Astyanax mexicanus: one gene and its partners. The protein of the gene in region 4 purifies or fractionates together with the protein of the main gene of each other region. This does not show direct contact. Links are inferred from orthologs where the notes say so. Each region holds a gene or a part of one and is shown on either strand. Other genes may lie near its edges. The genes, in order: nop56, ppm1g, pop1 and larp7.

What was found.
Region 1: the proteins of larp7 (region 4) and nop56 purify together in Homo sapiens (affinity purification with mass spectrometry; 3 studies listed by BioGRID and IntAct, with this or other methods). This does not show direct contact. The link is inferred for Astyanax mexicanus from reciprocal best matches to the Homo sapiens genes LARP7 and NOP56.
Region 2: the proteins of larp7 (region 4) and ppm1g purify together in Homo sapiens (affinity purification with mass spectrometry; 3 studies listed by BioGRID and IntAct, with this or other methods). This does not show direct contact. The link is inferred for Astyanax mexicanus from reciprocal best matches to the Homo sapiens genes LARP7 and PPM1G.
Region 3: the proteins of larp7 (region 4) and pop1 purify together in Homo sapiens (affinity purification with mass spectrometry; 3 studies listed by BioGRID and IntAct, with this or other methods). This does not show direct contact. The link is inferred for Astyanax mexicanus from reciprocal best matches to the Homo sapiens genes LARP7 and POP1.

What each region holds. Positions count from the first base shown.
Region 1 is NC_064424.1:42,801,231-42,808,168, reverse strand, and holds the start of nop56 (nucleolar protein 56), read right to left. Parts: upstream 3,020-6,938; 5' UTR 2,922-3,019; coding exon 2,919-2,921; intron 867-2,918; coding exon 777-866; intron 667-776; coding exon 552-666; intron 350-551; coding exon 185-349; intron 1-184. Other genes in the region: zgc:64106 (retinol dehydrogenase 11), read right to left, coding at 6,537-6,716. UniProt on the Homo sapiens protein: Involved in the early to middle stages of 60S ribosomal subunit biogenesis. Required for the biogenesis of box C/D snoRNAs such U3, U8 and U14 snoRNAs. Part of the small subunit (SSU) processome, first precursor of the small eukaryotic ribosomal subunit.
Region 2 is NC_064414.1:18,138,123-18,145,369, reverse strand, and holds the start of ppm1g (protein phosphatase 1G), read right to left. Parts: upstream 3,008-7,247; 5' UTR 2,443-3,007; coding exon 2,332-2,442; intron 1,393-2,331; coding exon 1,323-1,392; intron 444-1,322; coding exon 358-443; intron 1-357.
Region 3 is NC_064408.1:108,227,372-108,235,305, reverse strand, and holds the start of pop1 (ribonucleases P/MRP protein subunit POP1), read right to left. Parts: upstream 3,027-7,934; 5' UTR 2,890-3,026; intron 1-2,889. UniProt on the Homo sapiens protein: Component of ribonuclease P, a ribonucleoprotein complex that generates mature tRNA molecules by cleaving their 5'-ends. Also a component of the MRP ribonuclease complex, which cleaves pre-rRNA sequences.
Region 4 is NC_064415.1:28,221,277-28,228,311, forward strand, and holds the start of larp7 (la-related protein 7), read right to left. Parts: upstream 3,001-7,035; 5' UTR 2,710-3,000; intron 1,375-2,709; 5' UTR 1,373-1,374; coding exon 1,165-1,372; intron 1,003-1,164; coding exon 902-1,002; intron 796-901; coding exon 712-795; intron 629-711; coding exon 464-628; intron 357-463; coding exon 251-356; intron 1-250. UniProt on the Homo sapiens protein: RNA-binding protein that specifically binds distinct small nuclear RNA (snRNAs) and regulates their processing and function.

The DNA of each region.
Region 1 (6,938 bases), on a different chromosome or scaffold from region 4:
ATTAAAAAATTGCGTAAAGCATAAAATAAATCTTGCATTTGGTCAGAAAATTAGATATGAGCCAGTTTTCTCTTTAGTGTAAACATAACTTTAGAGACATCTAATAGTAATAGAAATAGGGGGGAGATAATATGACCGCTGAATGGAAACCCAGCTACTACTAAAGATCAAAACTTCCTCAAACCTCTGATAATTTCTGCCACCACTCCTCCAGTCTGAATGGACAGGCCCAACTCTTCTTGCAGTGCTGCTCCAATCTTGCCATCGGCCACACCAAGCATAGCCTTCTTCTTGCCTCCAGAAGGCAGGTTTGTTTCCAAAAACAGTTTAAGGTCTGCATGGACGACTCCTAACAAGAGATTCAACCACTTATCAGTTATTGATCATTCACTTGTGTCTTTAAGAAGTTTTATTAACATGTAGTTTCAGTTTTCACTCAGATTCAGTTAGGTATTTTATGTTGTCAGCACAATCATTCAGTGGATTGACAGACTATAATCACATCACTATCTGAGCTACACTATCAGAGCTCAAAGCCTGGTTTTACTTACCTTCTGAAATGGCATTTATGTTCTCAAGTGCAGCCTGTGCAGATTTAAAGGGGAAAAAAGCTGCCAGTTTTACAACAGTGTTGAATTTCCCAATATTCAAAACACTTTCCTCCACCTGAATACAAAAAGAGCAAAAAAATCTAATCAGATGCTGCACATAAAATTAGCTCAGCACAAAAAGACACTAAGAAAATGTCCTGAAGATTTAATAAAATAAAAACGCACCTGAGGTAAAAGCATGCCGATCTCTTCAACTTCTTTGACGGCGAACAGGGCATAGCCTGACGCATGCTCAAACAGCACGTGTAAGAGCACCTGGAGGGGAATAAATAAGTGAATTTAAAAAATTTGTCCAGCTATAAAATCTCTGAAATTACCCATCACTACCATATTGTATGAATTCTAAATTTGTTTTTTATTATTATTATAATTATTCCCACTTTAGTACCTTAAGAACACACTTAAAACTACAGACTTGTCAGCTAAGCGAAACGTTAAAGATATCAATTTTAAATATTTAAAATATACAGAATTTCATTTTAACAGGCAGCCAAAAATGCATCAGTAGTGTCAGTCATCGACTAAGCAAAAAATAAAAGATTGACTGATACTGATATCCTGAATATGCTTACTGTTGATACAATAACACACAATATGATAAAACATTGATGTATGTAAGCTCTAGATTAAAATAACTCCTAATTAGGCAAAATGATTTAAAACGGGTTTGTACCAAATTTGGTATTTGAGGCTTTCGATTTAGGGGTCTCTGAATTATCTTCCGGCTTCATTTAAAGCCGCGTTTTAACAATTTTACTGTGTTTAAAAAATGTTGAGTAAAAGATTTCGCAATAAAACAATAATTAGTTGTTGAGTGTAATACACGTGGCTTTTTAACACGGTTATTTTATAAAAAACTTTTTTTTTTTTACACTGTGCAGAATTATAGGGATATGAGATTAAAATGTTTGCTAATATCACAGAGCCCTTGTTACACTAATAGGGTCCCATGTTATTAAACGTACAATAAAAGCAGTTAAACTACAGCAAAACTAACAATCTAAGTTATTTCTCAAGGTAAATAATGATATAGATTATTTTTTAGTTCAGGTACTTCCACTTAAACTAGTCAACGTTTAAGCTCACAGGGGCCAATTTATTTATTTATTTTTTTTAAAGATTTATCATAAAACTTATGCTCAAAAAAAGATTTTAAATTAAATGTTAAAAAAGTAAACTTAGGCTCACAGGGACCAATAGCTTATTTTAAAAAGGGTTATTTAAGATCTTAAACATTATTTTTTTCTTTAAAAAATTAAATATTAAAATCCTAAAACATAGAAGTAATATTTAGCTAGCCCGCGTTTAGGTTCACAGGACTCAAAACTTAATTTTACGGTTATATTAAGATATTAACACACATTCTAGAAAATAAAAGAAAAAGATTACAGTAATATTAACATGTTTTTAGAGTGATGGCTAAAGCATAGCTTTATCTATTTAAATGCCTGTAACTAACTGTTAGCTAGTTTAGTTTAGCTGAAGTCGCTCAAAAACGCTGCAGAAATGCAGACACGTGGTTTGCGCGTGAACCGCTCCTGCAGCCCTGACCTCTAGAAACAGTAAAAATATTACTTATAACTTATTTAATAAACGTTAATGAACACGGAGGATACATTAGAGCAGATAAAGCTCACATGGGAGTCTTTTTAATGGAGAAACTTGGCTATAACCAAATAAAATGTTCAGTTTCTTCCAAACGCTAACGCTAGCTATGTAGCTTAACCTAGCTAACGCTAACTGGTTTTGAACACATGTTGAAGGCGAGTGCCCCACGTGTTCCTCCTGCAGACCATATCCACTCAAATTATACATTTAATAAAACGGATTCATATAAAATAAAAGAAAAATATAGCTTTAAATAAAATAAATAACGTATATTGCAAGAATGTTTTATGCTGCGCTGCGTTAAAGGGAAAAACGCCATAGGAAAACTAGGCCAGGGCCTAACAGCAGCAGCAGCAGCTACGCAACGTGATTATTAGCTAACAAACATTTCAACAGCTATTTTTAGACATTCTGGCTTAAATTAGACCCCAAGCTCACTTTATAATTTTCATAAAATGTTTAAAAATAAGCATAATTCACTAATTCACAATTTAAGGTAATGCCAAACTCATACAAATTCAGCTAAGTTACACAAATATGCCCCAAATTCTAGTCGATTTTAAGCTTATTTATCAGAAAATGCCAAAAGTTATTATCACAACCAGCGTAATTAAAGCTTTAACTTTTAGAATAATGCGCTAATAAACGAGTATTAAATAGTATTTCCAGGTAAATAAAGTGTTTAAAAGTGGTAGCTACCATCCTGCTCTGATTTCCGCGTGCCTCCCTCTACTGAAGCTGCTGCAGAAAGAAGAGGCTGCATGTGCTGCCGAGGGGAGGCCATGTGGAGCTTTATGTTACCACTCTCGCGAGATTTCAGATCCGTGCTGGTACAACAGATCTCGCGGTGTTTCTCTTATAAAAACAATAAAGTTAGAACTTCCTCTGATATTATAGCATTAAATTGCATGGATATTTAGCTAGAATAACATTTATTAGGATAATTTTTAAATTATAAACCCTGAGTACTGTGTATTATTTACATGTGAGGAAATATATATATTATATCAAAACCATTCAATATTCATTTTCCAATCTACTTGGCCTACCTCATGTTTAAATTGTAGTATTTATTAATAAAAATATACATTAAAAATGAGCATTTTGCTCATTTATAACAATCACAACAAAAATAATAATAATATCAGTAATTCCGATAAACAATATTAATATAAACAAGCGTAAATATAATAATACAATACTATTAGTTTGCACATATGATTTTTATATATCTTGAATTTATACATGCATTGCTTTTAACAGCACTTAACAAACAAAAGCTTTTTATTTAATTTTTATTTCAAAATGTAAAAAATACTACATTTTTTCGAGTCTAGGCAGAGTACAAAAAATATATAGATTATTTTTTTTCTTTTTGTTGGACGTATGTTTTCAGCCATTTTTACACACATTATTTATTAATATAATGATGAATTATTTATTAAATGCCTGATAATTATTGTTATTATTTATATTTAATTTAATATACATTTAAAATATGTTTTTATTTTATTATTTTTTAAATTATATATATATTTTTATATTTCACATTTTGACATATAGATCATTTAATGAAATTTAATTTCTATATATTTATTATATATATTTATTATATATTTTTGTCAGTTGTTCCGCGTTAAACTGCACCGGTGCGCCCTCTGCTGGGAATATATCATCATAGCCTCTACTGCTTTAACACAAAAAGAAACAACTATTAGATTTAGTTGTTGGACTAGTATTTACATTTTACATGTGTGTAGGGGGGTTTGGTGAGAGGCACAACACAAAGCATTTGTGCTTAGAGCGCCCAAATGGCTCCTTTCTCCACCCGTTTCTCTACCCCTTTACTTCCTCTCCACCACTTTCTTCTTCACTAATTACTTATAAAGAAGTTTAAAGTATTTTCAGTTTCCAAGGTGACTCTCCTTCAGTGGCAATGTGATTCATAACTGCTTCCCTTGTGACTTCCTTTATAGACTCATTTCATTTGTTCCAGTGAATTTTGGTTTTATGCTGCAGCTCAGTGAGTGGCTTAAAGAGCTGTTTTATAGCTTATCTAAATTAGTTACAGAACTTAATAAACAGAAGAATGATAGAACCCAATTGTGATGTCATAATGGCGATTGCAAGGGAACCCCATTGTGATGTCATATGTGACTGTACTTTTCCAGGAAGATCAATGAGCTTAACCTGAATATAATGTTTTAGTTTGGATAATAATTTGTATAATATCTTTCACACCTTAAATTGTGTTTGTTATAATATTTATTTGTATATATTAGAAATAATTGTACCTTGCAAAACAGAAAAAAAGAGTTGTACAAAAGTGTTTTTTTTGTTTTGTGTTTAAAAAGTAAAGTAAAGTTAAGTAAAAATCCATCTAATATATAAACATAGTTATATTAATAATTTTAAAATCACTGCAGTAGGGTAGAAGGCAGTTGCATGTGAAATGTCATAAGTTATAACATTTTGACAAACAACTTTTGATAACAGAACAGTTAGTTCCCAACTGTACACATTCATAAAACTTTCTAAAACTAGGTTAAAAAAGTTACTTTTAAATCTTTTAAGTGTCACAGAGCAGCAGTAACTCAGGTACTGAGTGATCAGGATACACTGAGTGCAGAGTGTGCCAGTGCTGCTTGCTGGAGAGAAACATTGTACGCATTGTTGCTGATGGAAACCAGATGTCTGAAGTATTCAAGGTCTCACAGTGTTTATAGCTCACTCCATAGTGCACTGCATGGTACCAACAGACAAACACCAAGACCCCTGGTCTTTGATCTTGGAAACAAGATTTTGATTCAAATCAAATCAACTAAAACTGCATGTTTTACACACAAAATACAAACTTACACAAAACACAATTTATCATGACTGTATATGGGAGACTGACAGCAAGAAACTGGACTGTAATAAAAAATTCTGAGTAATATTCTTTTTACTGACAGAAATTTAGGAAAGACAATTAAAGTCAATTAGAAACTTACTCTAAACATTCAAAACAACCTAAGACAACAACTTGAGGAATGATAGTGCTTTCTTTTTTATGCATTATGATGCTTCTCTCCAAGATTCACCTGAGGACAATTTAGAATAAATTACCAAAATGTACCAAAAAAGTTTCATAGAAATGTATAAATTATGCATAAGAGATTATGACAACCTGTTCAGCACTTTTGCATGTAATGACCCAGGCAGTGACCGACAGCCTAAACGTTTTGGAGGGTAAGACAATTAAACAGATAATCAGCTCATCACATTTTGATGGGCACGACATAAGCAATGGATAATGCAAAAACAACAGCTGATAATTGAACATGACACGCATTTGCAAAATGTGAAACACAATGAGAAATGCACTTATGAAGTGACACAGAGATGTGGAGACTGAATGAACTGTTTTGAGAATTTCAATTCTGATCTGAAAAATGCACCAAATCGACTGAGAAAAACTGTGAAAAAAGAACAGAGCAGCCAATCAGAAAAGAGTCTAAGTTGCATCGGCCCAGATTAAATATAGGCCCGATTCTGTCCCAAATGCTCAGTTCGTGCATGTGGCAACAATTGCATGGCAGGTATGATACAGCAGTCAGTCAGTGCCACATGTGCCAACTGTCACATGGTCCCTGTCTGTTCTCATGCTTCTGTGTTTATTTACCTTTTTTTCTGGCCCTGTCTCATGTCTGTGTTATATCCCCACGTGACCTGTGCTCCTCGGTGTCTCCTGTCTCAGTAGTTTTCCACTCACCTGTGTTCCTTTGTAGCTCCGCCCCTTAGTCCCAGGTGTTTCCTGTTTCCCGTGTGTGTCCACCACTATTTATAGTCCGTGTTCCCTTTCTCTTGTGTCGGTCCTTGTATTATTTATTTTTAAGTCTGTTATGGTTGCGGCTCTGTTTCCAGTGTTTCCTGTTTTCAGTTTAGTTTCAGTTGTTTATATGTTTATTTTTGTCTTTTGTTTATTGTTAAATAAATATATTCGCATTTGCGTCCGCTCTGCTCGCCATTCCTTGCTGCACCCTGACACCAACAACCCGGTTTCTGAGTATAATAATATGGAAATTGGAATCACAACTGCAAATGCCTTTAAAATGTCTTTAATTAACATACATTGCTTTATGAACTTCTTTTCGTTTTTACTATATGTACCCCATAACTTATTTTGGTATTTAAAAAAATAGAGAAAAAAAGAATTTGGCTTTATATAGTATTTTTAATAGTGTGTTTACAAGCCATTAGATATTCCAACTTTTCAGAGCAGTTCTGTAATGCTGTATTGTGATAGGGCAGGAGATCTGCTGTTCTCTCAGTGCTTTAGAGCTTAGCAGTCAGTCTCTCGCAGTGCTCGAAGGCCTTGGCTCCTAAAGCAGGGTCTCTGGCCAGTGGAGCTGGGAGGACAAGGGAGCAGTCGCTGTCAAAATACTTCCCTGTGATCCCCTCAGTGTCTTCTGATACAGCGCAGTATATCGTACTGACTGCGCCTTCCTCTGAAGACTGAAATACATGAACACAAAGCATTAGGAACGTCTGAGGATTACATATTACAAGGCTTGTTGTTTTGTGTGTATTGGTACTATAAATTATAGAATTAGATGCTGTCAGCACCATAAAACTAATATGTACTGTTATGTAAAACAACATAACTGCTTTGTAAATGCTTTGTAATTTACTCAAGAATGTTTTTGGTTGCTTCAGATCCCACAGTTTTTGGCCTCA
Region 2 (7,247 bases), on a different chromosome or scaffold from region 4:
CACGCTAGCTGCTCTAAATTTCTGGTGAAATCCATAAATGCTACTTATCAAATACCAAATAATTGACAGCTAAGGTCCTTTCATTTAACCAGCTGCAATATCCTAGCAACCACTGTTAGGTGTGCGCCTCGCAAACAGAGGACACATGCACAAAAGCTGCTTTAAAAGTACACAGAACATCTGTGTACACACAATTAACACTGCTTAACTCAGGGCCTGACACTTGCTATGGTTTACCAGTGCAAAGCCTTTACATTCTCTCCTTGAAATGGTCAAAATATACTTTGTGGTTGAAAGGAAGACTGATGAATGCACAGCTGTAATCTTCTACGCTTGCACAAAAACTACTGTGCTTACCTTTTGCAGTTTGCCATCTTTGTATGCCTTCTGCTCCTTTATGATGTCGGGTAAATATTTGGAGCAGTACAAAGCAACTTCTTCACCTGGAAGGAAAGAGAAAGTGCATATGTCTTACTATCAGGCCCACATACTGCAACTGATGAACTGTTGAATTTGTTCTAATGTTTTAAATGCCAAGGTCCTCAGAATTCTACCAAGCATGAGTGGGGCTACTTTGAGCTTGTTAATGGTGTAGAAATTTAGAAGAGATTTATTTTATTTATTTCGAAATTGATTTTTACATGGGCAACACTATGCACCCATCACTTGCATTGTAGGTCTGCTGGGAGAATTGTCTAACAGTGCTGTATTTTGTAATGCTGGGGGTGAACAGAAGTGGGCTATTATACTGTTATCAAGTTTAGCACTAAATCAAGTCCATTTCACACCAGATTTCTCCTATAACCTGGTGTGTTGAATAGTTGCAGTGGAGGAAAATTACTACCGGTAAATATTTTGATGTAACAAATTTCATAACAGTTTGGTTAAATGGTTGGAAAAGCTCAATAAAATAAGCACTAACCTTGCACACCTACAGTCTGTAAATAAGGTCAGATAACGAACACAGATTCACACAATGTCCTGTGATGATGCTTTCAGGATGCTCAGTATGTGTCACTTAGGAACTTTATGAGTTAAAATGAGGAATAAAGTAAATTAAGGAACTTTACATCTCTTTTAAAGGGTCTGTGACGTGTAAAAAAAAAAGGTGCCCCTTTCTTTGTGCGTCACCCCACAGGACATTACACTACAGAAACTTAATATTTAGTTAGCTAATGCACAGAAGAGAAAACAAGCTCATCTCAATTCCAAGAAAGGGGTAGTGTTAACTGATTTAATGCGCTTTTACATATCAGAGCAGAGGCTGATAACGACTATGTTAGCTAGGTACTTGGTGATTAACGCAAGCCACGTTTCCTCACCTCCATGTCCATCATAGACAGCAAACATAGCAGTCTCGTCATCCAGCTCGGGAATACAGTTGTGTGCATCCTGTTAGTGTAGATATAGAGGAATTATCAGAGTGGATGAGGAGGGCTGCAGAGCTGGAAGGCCACAGAACAATGCAGACAGCCATGTGGCGGCGAGCAGACAGAAAGTTAAACTGGCGCGAAAACCCGCGCACACATCACACTGTTCAAACACGACCCTGAGAATCGCAGCTAAGCTAACTAACCTAACTCATTCAAACAGCTTAGGTAGTTAGGTTATAATACCTAGTGCTGCATGGCTGGTAAACTAGCTACATTGTCTGAAGCAGCAGAATGAAAGAGAATGAGGCCGGTGTTGTGTCGAGTTCTGCTACCTTGTCAAACTGTGCTACCTTAGTGTATGTTTAACTGTAAAAATACAAACTATTAGAACATGCTGCATGCAGCAGCACTGTCGGTATGATATTTGAATAGCATAAATCGCTATATCAAGGTAAAGTTAAGAAAGTATAGGCGATTAAAAAAACATTTATATGTGCATTTTTTGTTACTTTTTACACTGTTGTTACACTCAAACAAACGATGATTTTGAGTCTAGATTGTACAAGGCATCCGGAAGAATAAGTTAATTATCAGGAAAAACCAAAGCAGTTGGTACAAAACCCTGGATTGGGTTTTTACTTTCTGGACCTGGGTTACCCACCTCTAAGGAAAAAACACATGAAAACAGTAAAAAAAATTATATATATTTTCGCGCCTGCGCAGAGCCGCAAAGTAGCACATATCGATGGGTAGCACAACTCGATAGGACACCGGCCCTCACTTCGAACTCCATTAAGTGTATTTGAGTTCAATTTATGAGCTGCAGTTAGCTGTATCGAAGTGAACGGCTAGCTGAGCTTAGCTAATATTAACTAACATAACCCCACTGATTCTGCCTGCTCCAGGCTTCCCATAAGATAGCTTAGCTTAGCTATATTAGGTTAGGTTGGTTTGTTACCTCCATGGAAATGCGCCATCCCTGCATGGCTGCAAAGCCGTACTGGAGCTTGTGGTTCCCGCCGTCGGCCGAGGTTTTCTCCGTGTTGGGCTGAGACAGGTATGCCCCCATGATCCAGCCGAGCTAGCTAAGCTATTGTTGTGGGAGCTCGAGAAGAACAGCACGCAGCTGGTTAAGCTACAAAACAAACCGAGCTGTTTTATTTAAGCTAGCTTCAGCTAACTCACAGACGAAGCAGAGCTCAGAAGCGGCGTGTCTGGTGGAGCTCAGATGGGCTCTCCAGCATTTCAGAGGCCCGGGCAGAAGAGAGCGAGGAGCAGGCGGTCAGTTCGAGAGCTGCTGGCGCTGCTACTGCTGTTCACCCGGTACTTTTCCCCGGCTAGCTAGCGCCTCTATAATCACTGCTAGGTTAACTAGCGTTAGCCAACGCAGGACTATAACGTAGCTAGATTAGATGCTGCTGCTGCTGGAGTTTGAGCCAATCACAGAGTCGCTCTCACAACCGAGAACCTAACTACACAAAAACACACCGGCGGCGGGGTTCAGGAGGCTCAAAAAACACACAGGAAAAATGTAACACGTGTGAGGGGCATAATCAGCGGCGGCAGCAGCCTGTCGGACCCATTTCACAGACTGGTGTTCTCTAAAGGAAGTGGAACCAGAGCCGGTTTTCGGAGAGCCTGCCCACTTTCTCCTTCCCCTCTCACCGTTATATCAGAGAATTACAGCCCACCGCTAGAGGGAACCCGCGAGGGAGACCCAAATTAATGGGAGTGAATAGAGCTAAACGGCTAAACTCAAATTAAAATAGTATCTAACTGCTTGTCCGTTATATTCCTTTATTAAAGGTCGCATTTTATCGTTTTTTTTAATAATTATGCAGTGGTCTTTAGTATTAATGAATGCCCTGTAAGTCAGATTTTTTTTTGAGGAAAGTGCAAGAGGTGTCAACTAACAAAGTACGGATACTTCATTAGCTACCTTACTTAAGTAGAACTTTTGGTTATCTCAGACGACTTTTTACTTGGTGTTGCTATACACCTGAAAATATTAGATCTGTATGTATAATAACTTTCATTATAAAACATTCATTTAAAAACTGTTTCTCCCCTCCACCATATGTGAGTACTGGTCCTCCCCAGGTTTCTTCCTCCTCCAGCTCTGAGGGAGTTTTTTCTTGCCTCTGTCCCTCAGTGGGGTTTCTGTATTGTATGTTTTGCCTGATTCTCTGTCCCACGATCACATTTATTTAAAGCTGATCAGTTGTTCAAAGTGCTATACAAATAAGTTTGGTTTGATTTGATCATTTCTAATTCTTACATTTAAAAAAATGTTAGCCTCGTTACTCTTATTTCCTTTCAGCTTGTTTTCATTCCGGCTTCTCAGCATAAAAAAGTATCCAGATAAATCTTTCTATATTAGGATAAAGGGACACACACACACAGAATAGATTCTTAAGTGGCTATTCTCCTCTCAGTTGTTTTTTTGGTTGAACCGAAAGGCCCGCATAATTGGTAGAGTCGAGCTGATGGAGACTGAAGTTGCGCCTTTGAGCAAAACGGCAGTCGATAGACCAAACATTCAAACAGTGAATTTTTAAAACATTGATAATCAGATACTATAGTTAAACAACGATATAACATTTCACAATCCTACAGATGTCAAGGCATATTAATAAAAACGAAAAAAAGAAAAAATATTCCTGTGGAATGTATAATTTACAAAAATATGTAAAATATAATATACCGTGCATGTATCCATTGTTTTAACAGTTCTGTTATTTTTGGAAATATTTTTAGTAAACGTAAATTTATAAATAAAACATTTATTTAACCCAAACAATACATAACAACTAAGCAAAATGTTTTCATACACTTTAATCTCACAATTGCATTAGACTGTTTTATTAATAATAATAATAATAATAATAATAATAGTAATAATCATTTTCTCATAAAATACAAAACATAAAACGGGGAGTATAAAAAATACAAGGAGATTAAAAGTGTTGCATTACAGGACTTTAAACTTTATTAAGAGAAAAATTAGATCTCATTTTCATTTTTTTTTTACAATGATTTAAAATATTTTAAATGTTTTTTTTTTCGTAAAATCGTAAAGTAATGTTGCAATTACATTAAAATCTCTAAAGAAGTTTCGTAATTTCAATATAAATGTTTGTGGTGGATGAAATAGTGAAAATATAGAGGCAGCAGTCAGAATAAATTTTAGATTAAATTGATCTCAAAACAGAGCTTGGCAACATGGCAATATTTTATCATATTTTAATAAATTTTCTATCATACAGACACTATTATTTTTACACATATTGAGATCATAAACGCTTAAAGAACTCTAACCCAACTGTACATTTTATTACATGCTGGTTATAATGAAAAAAAATGTGTATTGTGTAAATGTCTTTAACTATCGTGGCCATCCATCTCAACATATCTAAACCTATGGTTTTGTCTTGGTTATAGAAAATAATACAGTACATCAATACACAAGGGCGTAGGAGTGGGTTTGACATTAGGGGGACACATTTGCTAATATAAAACAAAGCCCACCCTATAGTTAACAACATGTATGTAATTACTTTTAATCACAAATCTGTACTTCTCTTTATTATTAATTACATCAAAGTAAAGGCCACTTTACAACCTAAACGTTACTCCACATTACTGTTGTTAGAAAAAATTATGCGTGCGTATATACATATATAACAAAAACTGACCAGTTATCACCTAATATTTAAAATAACATAGGATATGTGGTTATTATTATTATTAGTAGTAGTAGTACTACTATGTTTTGGCATGCCAATTCTGTTCTATATTTGTATACTTACATTTGCTCCACTCTTAAAAATAAATAAATAAAGAAAACGCAACTACATAAAGAAAACGCAGCATTTCAGAAACGCTGCGTTAAGAAAAACGAAATTACTTAATTACGTTTGCCACACTGGAAATGCTCCCAGCCGCTAGAGGGCGCTGTTTAGCTGCTGTTGAGCTGGCGTGTCAGCATGGCCGCCATATTGGAGGAGGCAACATGCGCCCCCCAGTGCATTAATTTACACTGAGGAAGGTGTTTAGTACACCTATAATAATAAGACCTTTCACAGGATTTTTAGTTACAGGAGATACAGGACGCTGTCACACATTACAAATATGTGCTTTCATGCTGACATACTTTGTTTTATGCTCTTTAACAAAGACAGACGTACGGTATGGCATATAATAACTGTATAAATGAACTAATTTAATTTTTATATGTACACACACATACTCTTCATTTTGCTCAAATATATACCTATAAAGAGCATTACTTTTATATGTATGTACATATAAAAAAATAAATTATTTAATTTATACTGTAATGTATATATATAATGTATATAGTAATGCAGTTGTGCTGTCATTTTTTGTTTGCTTTATGAATGCCACTGTATTATTTCGTTAATAGTACAGCTGAGCTGAACGGAAGGATATCATTTATGCGAGGGATCAATATCTGGTGGCCAGGCACGGTCCGGCACTGGGCGCTCACAGACCGGGCTTACACCCTGTTATGCTAACGCCGCATTAGCGACCCCGTGAGCGGGCCAGAGTCTCTGTGTTAGCATGCTGTTATGCTAACACCGCGTTAGCATGCTATAATGCCACCCCAATAAGTGGACCTGTGTCGGTTTAGCTTGGACCAGGGCAGAACACATGGTTATTTCTTTTCATGTTTTTGTCACTTTCTTAAGGGAATCAATAACAAAAAGTATAATGTATTTTTTTTTTGCAAACTTGTTAAAAAAAAAGTTCATTCGAAATGATTTAAGACTTTTTTGTGAACTGCTTTTAAATATTTAGTAGACTGTTGTATGTTTTGTTCACTTTGCATTTAATCTGAATCTGTAGATGGGACTGTGAAACTGAGTTTTTGTTTTCAATTCCTAAATATTTTTGCACAAGTCTGTTACATTTTTAATTCATTAAGGTGAATATGTAAATTGAACTTGTTTTGATTGAGTTAGACTGATTTAATATTTAAAGGTGACTTTGTAAATTGAGCTTGTTTTAATTGAGTTAGACTGTCTTAATATTTAAAGGTGAATATGTAAATTGATTTTTATTTTATTGAGTTAGACTGACTAAATGTGTGCTGTAAACCCTGGGGAATAGCTTGTATCAATGGGGTGATTTTATGATAAAGCGGATAGAGTTTGTGCTGTAAACTCTGGGGTAGAACTTGTATCAGTGGGGGGATTTTATGATAAATCAGATAGAGTTTGTGCTGTAAACACTGGGGTATAGCTTGTATCAGTGGGGTGACTTTATGATAAAGCGGATAGAGTTTGTGCTGTAAACACTGGGGTATAGCTTGTATCAGTGGGGTGACTTTATGATTAAGGGGATAGAATTATTGCTGTAAACCCTGGGGAATAGCTTGTATCAATGAGGTAGTTTTATGATAAAGCAGATAGAATTTGTGCTGTAAACCCTGGGGAATAGCTTGTATCAATGGGGTAATTTTATGATAAAACGTATAGAATTTGTGCTGTAAACTCTGGGGTATAGTTTGTATCAATGGGGTGATTTTATGATAAAGCGAATGGTCGTAGTTTAGTGATGTTACTGAACGGACTGTAATGACTCGTATCGGCCGATTAGCGGCGCTGCTGGACATCTCTAGTTACTAACTTTGTAGTTAGGGCTTCATTTACTGTGTTCCCAGCAGTAGTTTCATTGAAAACACCCTCATGGAATGCTGGCGGTTCTAGGGGCGGGGCCACGGGGCATTGGCCCCAGCTTGAAGTGCATGTATACTCTCACTCTGGCCGAGAGCGATGATCAGATTGTAGGTGGCTGCAGTTCCATGCGCATGCGCTAATGAGCCCAATAGGAAAAACACAGTGATTAAAG
Region 3 (7,934 bases), on a different chromosome or scaffold from region 4:
ATAAAAATAAGTTTTATACCCATTTTTTTTTTATTTTCGAATTTAGCTTGATACGGTAATCTGTCAAACCATGATACCCTAGTGTATAATTTAACCACAGAAAAAAGCACCATATTAGAGCATGTTCCCAGCAGAAGTCCCAGTAGATGTAGCGTTAGTATATTTGGATAGCATAAATCACTGTATCATGGTAAAGTTATGTCAATGAGAGGTCATTACAAACTGGTTTTGTATTAAATGTATTAAATAATAATTGTATTTATTAAGTTGGCTTGTCAAAGCCAACTTATAGTTCTTCTTATTCTTCTTATTATTATTATTCTTCTACGCTAAAATTTCTCAACGCTACTCCTCCTACAGTTTTCGAGCTAGAACCACCAAACTTCACAGGTTGGTAGAAACCATAGCCACTTAAGTTGCTTGTGCTTTTCTAAGCGATCGGAGAACCAGGGTTCTAGCACGGTTCCGTCAAAGTCACTTTTTTCCCCATAGACTTCCATTCACACTTTTTTCAAACTGCTGTAAAAGTCACAATTTTCAAGCTAGAACCACGAAATTCACAAGACATACAGAACTTGCAGAGACGTTTCAGACGATATGCTGATCTCACCGATACGATTTACGGTTTTCGTAAAAGTATCGTACGAACTTTCCCCATAGGAATGAATGGGCGGAATGTTGGCCATCTCACACACACCAGCCGATCCTGCGCACGGCCCCCCTCTCTGCCCTGCTCCTCAGTACTGTATCTGTATGGAGAAGAGACTGCTGAACACAACCCACACCAGAACCAATACCACACTACACACACCACACACACACACACCACACATACACCACACCACACACACTTCAAACCACACATACCCCACACCACACACACTCCACATCACACATACCACACACTTCACACCCCACACCACACACACTCCACACACTCACCACACGACACACAGTCCACTCCCCACACTCACTCCACACCACACATACTCCACACCACACAAACTCCACAGTCCACACCACACACACACCCCACACCACACACAGTCTACACCCCACACTACACACACTCCACACCACACCCTACACACATTCCACACCACACATACCACACACCAAACACACTCCACCCCACACACTCCACACCACACATACCCCACACCAAACACACTCCACACCAAACACACCCCACACCACACACAGTCTACACCCCACACTACACACACTCCACACCACACCCTACACACATTCCACACCACACATACCCCACACCAAACACACTCCACCCCACACACACTACACACCACACATACCCCACACCAAACACACTCCACACCAAACACACCCCACACCACACACAGTCTACACCCCACACTACACACACTCCACACCACACCCTACACACATTCCACACCACACATACCCCACACCAAACACACTCCACCCCACACACACTACACACCACACACACCCCACACCACACACAGTCTACACCCCACACTACACACACTCCACACCACACCCTACACACATTCCACACCACACATACCCCACACCAAACACACTCCACCCCACACACCACACATACCCCACACCACACACACTTCAAACCACACATACCCCACACCACACACAATCCACACCACACAAACCCCACACCACACACACTTTAAACCACACACACTCCACAGCTCACATACCCCACACCACACACACTCCACCCCACACATACCACACACAATTCACACAACACCACACATTCCACACCACACATACCCCACACCACACACACTTTAAACCACACACACACTCGATAGCTCATATACCCCACACCACACACACTTCACACCACACATACCCCACACCCCACACACTCCATACCACACACACACTCCACAGCTCACATACCTCACACCACGCACACTCCACCCCAAACATACCACACACTTCACACCCCACACCACACATACCCCACACTCTCCATACCACACACACACTCCACAGCTCACATACCCCACACCATACACACTCCACCCCCACACATACCACACACACTTCACACCCCACACCACACATACCCCACACTCTCCATACCACACACACACTCCACAGCTCACATACCCCACACCATACACACTCCACCCCACACACACCCCACACCACACACACTCCACACCTGACACAAACCCCACACTCCACCACACATACACCACACCACACACACTCCACACCACACATACTCCACACACCACACCACACTCTCTACACACCACACCACACACACTCCACACCTGATACACACAACTCACCCCACACTCCACCACACATACACCACACTCCACACCACATTCCAAACACACCACACCAAACACACTCCACAACCCACTCCACACCCCACACACTCCACACCACACACACACTACACAACTTAGTAACTATTTGACAAGCCAACTTAAAGTTCGTTCACGAACTTTGCCTTTTCTAGTTACTATTATTATTTTTCATTTAAACTTTTGTGCAATGACAGTGATTCGATGTTGTTTAACGCACACAAAAATAGAATTATTATAAACAAACACGAGAAATATTTAAAAAGTGTAGGTCAGCGCATGCGTAGTGCCTTTAGAAAGTACGTATTGATGGGCAGCATATATCGACTGAACAACAGTCAGAAATTAACTGCTAAACGTTACACCCATCGGGAAAGATCAGATCTAGCTGGAAAACAAACACACTTCTGACAGTATTTCTGCTGAAACAGCGAGATGAATTCGCTACTGCTGCAAAACCACGCCGCACTCAGACACTCTGATCACACCTGATTAAAATCATTAATATTAATGAATTAATTCACACGCTGTAATGAATAATCATGTAATCAATGCTCACTGTAGCGCCGGATCAAACGCAGAAGCGTAGAGAGCCTGAATAAGACGAGTTAACACTTTAGTCCTGAACTGAGCTCCACTGTGAGTTAACTGCTTCCCCACCATCAGCACGCCACTACCCACACACGTGTTCCAGCACTTCCGGGTACAAGGGGCTTATGGGAGTTGTAGTTCTGCGACAGAGGCTTGCTTTTTTAAAGAAGAAAAATAAAATAAAAACGACATAATATACATTTACTCATGGCATTTACTTACATTTATGATATACACCAAATAAAACTAGAAAAAAAACAACAGATAGATAAAACGTTTATTTTAAGTTTTTTTTCTCCTGTTTAAATGTATACATCATGTGCAATAAATTAACACATTTTTATTTATGATCAAATAAAAAAAAAAAAAAATATATATATATATATATATATATATATTCAATTGAATATGTGCTTAAAATTAGACAGTAAATTATCAGTAAAGATTATTATTCTAAAAACTACAATTAAGTACATGATAAACACAGAAATAAAATTCAAGAAAATGTTAAAATACAGTACCAGTCAAAAGTTTGGACACACCTCTTCTCATTCAATGTGTTTTATTCTTTTTAATGATGTTTTACATTGTACATTTAATATTAAAGACATTAACGCTATACAGGAACAGGCAGAATTATTAAGTTAAACAAACCAGAACACGTTTTATATTTTAGATTCTTCTAAGTAGCACATTTATCTTTGAGGACAGATCTGCACACTCTTGGTATTTTAATCTCAGTGTCTTCATGAAGTAGAGATACCTGGAATAGTTTTCTCAGTGTCTGGAAGGTGGAGTGTCCTGGAGGTGCTGAACACTGTGAAGCTCTAGATCATCTCAAATCACTCATCACAGTTGATCAGGTTTAGATCAGGGGATTGTGGACAAACACTTTTTATTGTTTAATACGTAATCCCATATGTGTCCCTTAATTGATTGTTTGAATCACATTTTATTTATGCTTTATTCTTCTTTTATTATTTCCATTTTTATTGTTATTCTCTTACACGTTTATGTGAGTCTTTTTGTATTTTCTAATTTATAAATCACTTTAAATGACCATTGTGTATGAAAAGTGCTATATAAATAAACTTGCTTTCATGTCTTTAATAGTAATTTACAATGTAGAAAATACATTAAATAAAGAAAAACGTTGCATCATAACATTTATCAGTTTAATTTTATGTTTCAGGATAAATTTAAACATAGAAAATTGTTTATAAAACTTGTTACAAAAATGTTTTTTTTCATTTACTTCAGTAAAGAAGAAATTGATCTGCTTTTGCAATCTTTAGTGTTCTATTTCTGACTTTCACTAACAGAACTGAAAAATTTACTCTCCTTTCAACTCTTTTTTTTAGATGTAGAACTTAATAATAAACTTACTATTGTTACAAGAAAAATCTAAAAAATTGACAGAAGATTTTTTTTATTTGTCCTAAAATTGTGAGGTGCAGAAATAAAGAAAATAGAAAATTGGAAAATTAGATTAAAAAAAAAACTATTTCTTCTATACTGCACCAAATTGTAAGAGTTACATAATAAAGGTGTTTAACCACCAATTTTCTATTTTCGAAATTAGCCTAAACTGAACTGATAAACATTACACTGACTGAGAAGCTGCGTCATAACTTTTGACTGGTACTGTACATTGTAAGTATGTGTGCATGTATCTTTATACAAACTATCGATGTTCCTACGATGTTAAAAATGAAATATGGCTGTATTTATACAGTATTAAATTAAAGTTAATGCTACTGCTGCTACAGAGTTGGTATAGTTGACAGTCAAAGGTGAGGTAGTTTACAGAAATGACAAATAATCTGCAATGAAATGCTGACAGTAAGAGATTACATACTATAAATGTTTTCTTTCCTTTTTTTTTCTTGTGCTGATAATTAATTGGCCCATCATCTATGTTGTTACATGTGTTGTATTCAGGAACCTTGCAGCTCTAAAAACTGAATAACACTCTGATAATAATCCAGCAAAATGATCTAACAGTCTTTTTGGGTGGAAAAACAGCCCTGCAGCTTTCAGAGGCAGTCTTGTCAACAGAATATCAAATATGCGCACCATCTGCTTTTTTTTTCTTTTTTTAGAATTCATGCCCTTCAGGAAGAGAAGAACAGGGACCACAGCCAATCTCTCATTCAAGTGCTTACGAAAAACTGCTGAGAATAAGAATTCCTAAGAAAAGATTCAACAGAAAAATACATATTTCAACATATTATATTATATTATTCTAATTCCGAACTACTGTAAACCAAGTCTCATTTCTTACTTTAGGCAAATGTGTGTATACTACTCTCTCACCTGCTCATCTGGTCCCAGATGCCATAAAGTTATAAAATCATCCTGCTTTGAGGCAACTCCCTTTGCTGGAACTTATCTTAAACAGACGAGTTTGAGCTGGTTTAAAGGAATCACTGCAGGGAGAAACATGCCTACATAAGCAGAACTAAACTGTCACTACAGATCATTCTGTCTGCATACACTCAATCCATGCTGTGAAGCATGAATAATGTGGGAAAGTGTGAAGACACACTCCTCACTAATGCTGCAGTTCTGATGTGTTCATAAACTCTGTGTAATGTCTGTGGACAACCCTGGTAATGAATGCATCATTTAGCTCCTTTATTTTGCATCCATTTCTGACACTGAATGATGACTGTAAATGCATATCGTCGCTGTCCAATGAAAAACAAGTATCTCCAAAACAGCAACTTTACAGGAGAGATATAAAACCTTTTTTAACTTTCAATGGATGTCAATGTTCAAATAATTTGGGAGGATTTCTATTGGCCCATAAATCAAGACATCCTGACAAAGTATAAGGGAAATGTGGGTAGTTGAAATAATTTAGTAAGCTAAAAATCAACAAAAATGGAGATACTTGTTTTATATTGGACAACAACGATAAAAAGAACTGGTATAATTAATGTACATATTTATTACCAATTAAATAGAAACTTCTTAAGCAGATAAACATGAACTAATCAGCACCATGCCTAATGCCAGGCATGGGCTAGAGTTGTATAATACCTTTTATAATACCCCACAGCATTGAGCTGTGTAGCAGTGGAACTATGATATCTAAAATGGTGGTAAATGTATACATCCTGTGCAATAAATCAACACAATTTTTATTTATCATCAAATTTAAAAAATATATATTTTCAATTGAATATGTGCTTAAAAATAGGACAATCAGTTAAGATCATTATTCTAAAAAAACACAATTAAGTACATGATAGTACGATTCAGTACGTTTGGGTTGAGTTGGAGAGTTGGGGATGAGTTAAGGTGCTAATTTAGATTCCTGGCCTGTCTAACACCTGTCTAAGTACAGTAGTAACAGTCAGGCCTTTTAAAACAACCCCTGTAAAAGAAAAGTGTATTTAAGTATTTTTTTTAAAGTGTACTTAACATGAAAAAGTACATATTTTTTTTATTAAAATATGTACTTAAATAAATATAAAATGTACTATTTTAGAACAAATTACGGCAACTTAAGTATATTTCAATTGCAATAAAGCTATATTTAAACACAACATAAAATCATTAAATTGTTGGGGTATTCATTCCACTTGAGACCACAATGTAAATAATACAAAAGTTAGAAGTAAACTGACAAAATCAATGAACTAAAACTGAAACAAAGTACATTGAAAAAAAAAGAAAAAAAAAAAGAATTACAAAATCAAAAAATAAAAATGCACTACTGACTGTGTACTACAAAAAAGGAAGGGTTTTAGTTTGATACAATATAAATCACCAAAATCTGAAATAGTGTACATGGAACAGAGCATTATTCTGTCTTCATTTGCTATCAGGTTGGTACAAATTAGTGCAGTCACTGGTTGTTTGTGCATATTATTTGAACTGTAATAAATGTGCATTAAACTTTATATTATTCTTCAATCCAGAACAAATTAATTTTTCTAGCATGGTGAAAGTTATTAACATTACACTAGCTGACATTTGGCCTGCCATTTTAAATGTGTAAAGCTCATAATTCTGACTTTGCACCTGGGAAGTTGGACCTTTTAACTGGATTATATATAAAGGCAGCATTATCTCCCATCAGATCTGTGTTCATCTTGGCCATGTGATTGTATTAATAAGGAGACCCCACAGTGGTGCAAACAAAAATAAAAAAAACAGAAATTTCTTCATTAGTAAAAGTAACTTTATTGGTTCTGTACACTAAAAAATGTGAAAAAAGAAGAATCCCATGCAACTACAATACAAGTTTGCAACATGGGTCCTGCTACAGATTATGAATTCATTAGATACATTTTCCCAATAAAACCGTTAATGTAATTCTCACAGAGTAAACGGTTAAGAATCCAGGAAAAACCCAATAATAGTGAACTCTGAGCACAGAGGGAAGGAAAGGACCAGTAACACAATTCACATTTTTACAGGAGAGGTTTGACTGGTGTGAGTTATAGGATGCAGTTTTTCAGTACTAGCTTCAGTAAGCTAGTGAACACACAAATAAGGGTAGCACACACTATACCCTACCAATAAAAATATTACATATGTCCGTCTGTTTAATTCATTCACTACTCCTTGTTCTATGCATTTGCCTTTAAAAATTCAGCTATAATGACTGTTAGATTCAATACAACAGTTTCAAACAGCTCAATCTATTTTAAAATGTTTATATGTACATATTATACATTATAATCATAGTTTTATGGCTACATCCTTGTTTTTTCCACTCTGTCATTTTTTTCAGCTGCACTGATCATATAGGAGCACTTTGTATTTCTAGAATTACAACCCAATCTACAGAACCCTAAAAGACCACCACAGATAAGGTATTATTTGGGAAGTGGATAATTATCCATCCTGCATTGACACTGACGTGGTGGTTGGTGTGTGGATCAGAGACAGCAGTGCTGCTGAGTTTTTAAACACTGTGTCCACCCACTGTCCTCCACTATATTAGAGATTCCTACATAGTGTCTACTTTGTAGGTGTAAAGTCAGAGACAGAAGCTCA
Region 4 (7,035 bases):
ATTATATCACAATATTACCCTCTGTGTGTGATTTATTAAAAGAAATGGCACTGAACAGAGTACAATCTTGTGCAAGCTTTGTTGTTAAAATGTGTACAAAGTGATATATCATAATTTAAAACCTCAGAATGCCTATTAATGCATCCTGGGAAACAATACGACATGACTTCAGTGAATATTGTGTATTTAACAGATCTAAGGCAAATGTACATGTGTTGCCAAACAATTTGTGTTTCATATGGAAGGGTACCTTGTGTGCTATCCTGTGCTGTACACAAAGGGACAGGATTATCTGTTAAAGACTTTGGGAAAATGCCTGCCTTCCTTGGAGCATCCTCTGGAGGGTTGTTCAACATCTATGAAATAGAAGATATTGCGTAAATTATTGAATTGTAAAGTTAGCTTCTAAAACACAAAAATGTAACCCAATAATTTATCATGTGAAGTAGAATCCAATACCTACCTCTATGGCTTTTTGTGCTTGAGCATCTGTCTCAAACTCCACAAAAGCAAAGCCCTTGGGGGACTCTGAAATCTTGTACCTGGGTATACTGATGTACACTACATTCCCACACTTGCTAAACACTCGTTCTATCCAAACATGGGTCACATCTTTTGGCAGGAGTTCCTAAACAGACACATAAGTTATGATCAACTGACAGATAAACATTTACAGATAAAAAATTAGCCAATAATAAAAATGATGTTTACCACATATACTGTGCGGCTGTCGATATCTTGAGGTTTGTCCCCCAGTTGATTTTTACGTCTTATTTGAGTTCCTTTGAGATTAACCTGACAAATAATAAATCCAAGAATATCAAGTGAAGGCACAATCATTATTACTATCATTACTATCACAATCATTATATATTTTTTTTAACATACAGGCAATTCTTACCTCTACCACAGAGGAATTTGTGAGAGCTCTCGCTATTAGTTTAACATCTGTGGTCAACTTTTTCATTTTATTGAAGGTTGTTAGAAGAGATATGTCAACATCTGCAAAACAAGACCAAAACGTGCAATGAGTTTATGTTTAAAACAACTACATGGATTTGACAATAGATTTAATACATTCTTTTTATTAATGCCGCTTTAGACACTCATCAATCAAAGACAACAATGACAGTCATTCTAAAACTTGAGGTAATCTCAACTTACAACCATCTCTTGATTTACTAATGACGTTCTGTAAAAATTTGTCCTTGTGAAGGTTCACATCATCAAACCAGAATTCCACTTGTTTCTTCACATCTGCCAACAGCTGTTTCACCCGAGACCTCTTCTTTTTCTCATTATCCTGCTTCTTTTCACTGAGCTCCTTGGCCTTCAGGTCTCCTCCAGTCGACATGTTCTCGCTGTCTGTCATACCTGGAATTTACAGCAATAATGCAAAAACAAATTTATGTGTGAAAAACATATATGTGTGAATAAAATGATGATGATGATGACGACTGTTATTTGTTATTTTTAAACAGAACTCCATCACTCCAGAGAACTTAACTAAGGTCATGTTTAAAACCATTAACTTATATTTATGTGGTACACAGCACATTTCATTAATTGCTTTTCTATTTGGATTGAACAAGCTGTATGTGTGTAAAAAAAGGGGTATCCACAAGAGAATTTTCTTGTGTATGAATAACCAATTCCCCGGAAAGAGAATTCAATAAAGCATTCAAAAAATGTAAACATAGTTTTGCCAGAAGCACTGTGAATCATAAGCATAACCAAGCTCTGTTTTAGACCCAGTCACTTAACTCTGGACAAACTTGCCAAAGAGACTTTAAGCTCATTATGTGATTGTGCCCCATTAGACTGGAAATGCTTTTCTTGGTGTGTGACTCAACACACAAGGAAGGGTGACTGGACATAACTGGACACTCCTGGACGTATAGTCGATTTCTGTACAGACATTCATTGTCAGACTAAAATGACAATATTGATACCTAAATATTAAAAAAAAGAGATCATCAATTGAATGAAAATAATATCAGACCTACAACCTGTAATGACACAAAAAAATACTCTGGAATATAATCAAGAGGAAGATGGATGACCACAAGCCATCAAACTAAACTGCTTGAATATTTGCATCAAGAGTGGCATAAAGTTATCCAAAAGCAGTGTGTAAGACTGGTGGAGGAAAAAATGCCAATATGCATGAAAACTGTGATTAAAAACAGGGTTATTCCACCAAATATTGATTTCTGAACTCTTAAAACTTTATGAATATGAACTTGTTTTCTTTGCATTATTTGATGTCTTTTTATTTTGTTTTTTGTTATTTTATCTATTTTTCATTTTCTGCAAATAAATGCTCTAACAATATTTTTATTTGGAGTTTGGTAGAAATGTTATCCGTAGTTTATAGAATAAAACAACAATGTTCATTTTATTCAAACATATACCTATAAATAGCAAAATCAGAGAAACTGATTCAGAAACTAAAGTGATCTCTTTTTTTTTTAGAGCTGTATATAGACAACGCTGAGCAATGAAGATTCTCTATTGGAATATGAGTGTAGTAGTACAGGATCAGGGTACTGTACTAGTATTTTCTCTGCTCTAACACGTTAATCATGTTCATCAGTTCGCTCTCCTGAACTCTGTGTGTTAATCACTAACAGTAGGTTGGGTAAAACAGTGAAAAGACAGTAAAAGCACAGGGCAGGAGCTGCAGCAGGTAGAGCAGCTGTATCTCACCTGATGGTCGAGCCGAAAGCGCCAAACTCAAAGCAGCACCATCCCACTCTTCACTGCTCTCTGCAGACCGGGTGTTCAGTCTAACTGCTCCTCAGCGATCACATACACAATAAATCCGTTCTAAAACAGACCCGCCGGTACACGGGGTTATCTGCTGTGTTTCTGCGTCTCCTCGGGTGTTTTAATGATCAGAATCAGCTGCAGGAGGAACAAAAACAAACCCTAAACTCCGGTGTGGTAAGTTAGCTTCGGCTAGGCTAGCGAGGCTAAGCGTGCAGGACTCCGGGCGCACACTGATGACCCAGTAAAGAGGTTCCCACCCCGCCACGCTTTTACCACGCCTTCACCTTAATTTTTTTTATACTGATTAGGTTGAATATAACATGTAAGAATGTTATTCTTTGGTTTAAACTGTAATATATCTACTGTTAATCATATTTTGAATATTTTTTCCCTTTTTGGGAAATAGTATAGTATCTACACAAATCTAACTTCTTAAATTCTGTCATCCTGTTCTTTAAGGTTTTCTTTACCTACGTATATATATCTTATATTTATATATATATATAAATATATATATATATATATATATATATATATATATATATATATATATATATATATATATATATATATATATATATATATATATATATTTCCTGATTCACTAGTGTCTTGAAAACAAATTACAAAATTTGAGAAATTTACAAGAAAGCATTTACAAGCTACGTTGCATTATATTAGGTGTCCACCAGGCGTCTCCAAAGTGTTCAAAACCTCTCCAAGGAAGTGCCAAGGAAGTAAATCTGTCATTAAACAACAAGAGTTTAATATTTTTTTGTTTGTTTGTGACAAAATAATGTTAGTCCATTTCAGAGTAATATTAATATTAATAATTTTTAAATTAAATTAAATGACACACAAATCCACACGTGTGCGCGCTGTGTGCGCTCTGAAGTTCAAAGTTTTTTTTATTATTATTATTGGTTGAAATAGGTGTCAATCACTTTTATTACCCTGGAGAAAAGCTATGACCTGATTTGATTGGTCAGCTCTGAACACCAACGTGATCCAGCCCTCACGCTAATATTTGACATATTTGTTTGTGTTAATCAGTATCAGAAACAGCTCAAATAAATTAATTAATCAATATAGCACTCTCCCGAGTTTTTTCTTTTATTATGCAAATTACGACTACTTTTTGAAAAACTAATAGAATAGTAAAAAAACACCAGTCTTGCAATCCTCCCTATTGCTAGATATGTGTTGACTATAGTTGATACTAAACTCTAGTAAAGTTACTGTTAGCTAAAGCTTCAAATGTACAGAAATGTATGGAAACCGCTCAAAGCAAATAGAAAACTACCTGGGAAAGACCTGTCACTATAAAACATCTGTTTTTCAACTGTTTCACTGGATCGTAGACTCCATATGTTTTTCCACTGATTTAAAGAAGGTAGGCTCTATATGTTTTTCTACTGGATTAAATTATGGTAGACTCGATTTTTCTACTGATTTAAAGGACGGTAGTCTTTCTGGATTTACTGGTTTAAAGGTTGGTAGGCTCTTTATGTTTTCTACTTGTTTGAAGCAACAGACTGTATTTTTTTACTGTTTTACAGGATAGGAAAACTAGCATCTAGACTCTATTTGTTCCTCTTGTTTATGTTTTTCTAATGGTTTAAGGAAATGGTAGACTTTATATGTGTTTCTACATTTTAAAGGATGGGAGCTCTATCTGTTTTTCTGGTTTAAAGGATGGTAGACTCTATCTGTTTCTCTGGTTTAAAGGACGGTAGACTGTATCTGTTTCTCTGGTTTAAAGGATGGTAGACTACAGCTGTTTCTCTGGTTTAAAGGATGATAGACTGTATCTGTTTCTCTGGTTTAAAGGATGGTATATTGTATCTGTTTCTTTGGTTTAAAGGAAGGTAGACTACATCTGTTTCTCTGGTTTGAAGGATGGTAGACTATATCTGTTTCTCTGGTTTAAATGATGGTAGATTATATCTGTTTCTCTGGTTTAAAGGATGGTAGATTATATCTGTTTCTCTAGTTTAAAGGATGGTATACTATAACGGTTTTGCTGGTTTAAAGGATGGTAGACTGTATCTGTTTCTCTGGTTTAAAGGATGGTGGACTCTTTCTGTTTTTCTGGTTTAAAGGATGGTAGATTATATCTGTTTCTCTGGTTTAAAGGATGTTAGACTCTACCTGTTTCTCTGGTTTAAAGTGTGGTAGATTATATTTGTTTCTCTGGTTTAAAGGATAGTAGACCATATCTGTCTCTCTGGTTTAAAGGATGGTAGATTCTACCTGTTTCTCTGGTTTAAAGGATGGTAGATTCTACCTGTTTCTCTGGTTTAAAGGATGGTAGATTATATCTGTCTCTCTGGTTTAAAGGATGGTAGACCATATCTGTCTCTCCGGTTTAAAGGACGGTAGACTCTATCTGTTTCTCTGGTTTAAAGGGCGGTAGACAATATCTGTTATGCTGGTTTAAAGGATGGTAGATTCTATCTGTTTTTATGGTTGAAAGGACGGTAGACTCTATCTGTTTCTCTGGTTTAAAGGATGGTAGACTGTATCTGTTTCTCTGGTTTAAAGGACTGTAGACTATATCTGCTTCTCTGGTTTAAAGGATGGTAGACTATATCTGCTTATCTGGTTTAAAGGATGGTAGACTATATCTGTTTTTCTGGTTTAAAGGATGGTAGACTATATCTGTTTCACTGGTTTAAAGGATGGTAGACTATATCTGATTTTTTTGTGTAAAGGATTGTTGATTATATCTGATTTTCTTGTTTAAAGGATGGTAGACTATCTGTTTCTCTACTGGTTTAAAGCTACGTCATCCGTTTGCACAGCCACAGAGCCAACCACATTTCTAGACCTGCAGTTTTAGATTTGCATTTTCAAGCTAGTACATGTAAGGCCATAGAACCAATGAGACTCAGCAAATTGTACAACAGAGATTAACTGTAATTACTTTCATTGGCTAATCAAAAGTGTAAAGTACCTGTTTAATGGTTTAATGGAAATTGGAAAAAGGATATCTCATGTACACTGTAAAAAATTTGAACACTTTAATTTATAATCCGTAAGCAACAAATTTCCTTTTTTTTTTAAAGCTAGTACAACTTTATGGCTCATTTGTTCTCTGCACTTACACAATTAAGTTGACCTAACAAGTCTTAAATGTTTGCTTAACTTAAATTATCGAATCACTTTAACATAGAATTCATCATAGTTATTTTATCATTATCTAATATTTTAAGTTGGCTGAACTTAATATATTTACTCACGGTAATCGAAAAATATATGCTAGACTTGCCAACTAAAAAATGTGTTAAAATTAGTTGCTAAAACATTTTAAGTTAGATTAACAAACTCAGAAGTGTTTGTTGTACATGTCAACAGAAAAACACTACTAAACTAAACAATTTTTATAAACATATAGAAAATAAATATTCATTGGCTCAATTTAACAAATTTAGCTTTGACTTTGAAGTTTTGATCACACAACAGTAGTTTAATTAGCTCAACAGTTTTTTTCAAGAATTGTTGGCTTTAATTATTTAAATATGAAAGTATTTCCAACATTTTTAACATATTTTTATAGAACTAACATACTGTGACAATTTAGACCACAGAATAAGAGTGATACGTTTTTAAAGCCTACAAACACTGAGGCCTGGCAATCAACACTTACATTACACTGAGAATGCATGACTAGGATAAGGTACCTTTGGGCAACAGACAACACAAAGATAGTAAATAAAGGAGAGGCCACACCCAAAATGCTAATATATGGTGCCAGGAGCCTATAGGAAAGCTGTATGAACCCTACTGTGAAAAGAGCATTGACACGTGTGGTTTACTAAAAGTTGGTTGAAATCAAATGTTTTCATTGGCTCAATAAGCATTTTTAAGTTTTCAGGTTGAAATTGTCTGAACTCATTTTATTGAGTTGTACTGCCCGGTAAATTCACTCAACTTGCTAATATTATTTCTCCTGACTAAACCACAAAATCACTTTTTAGAGTGCATGCGGAAGTGCCTTAAATATCAAGCAAGGTAATGCTGCAGACTGGAAACCGAAATGGGCAAGGATTTGAGACGAAATTGTTTTTTGGAGCACTCACCATCATGATGAAAGGCAGAATACTTGCCTTATATATCCCCAGTCTTCAGTTGTAGGGTGTGTTGGGATTAAAGTTGATGCTGATCAAGGGTGAAATTACTGTTATCTAAAGTTTCAAGCGTTTAAAAACATTAGTGGAAAAGGCTCTAATATAAACCTTCTGGGAAAAACATCTGAATGAG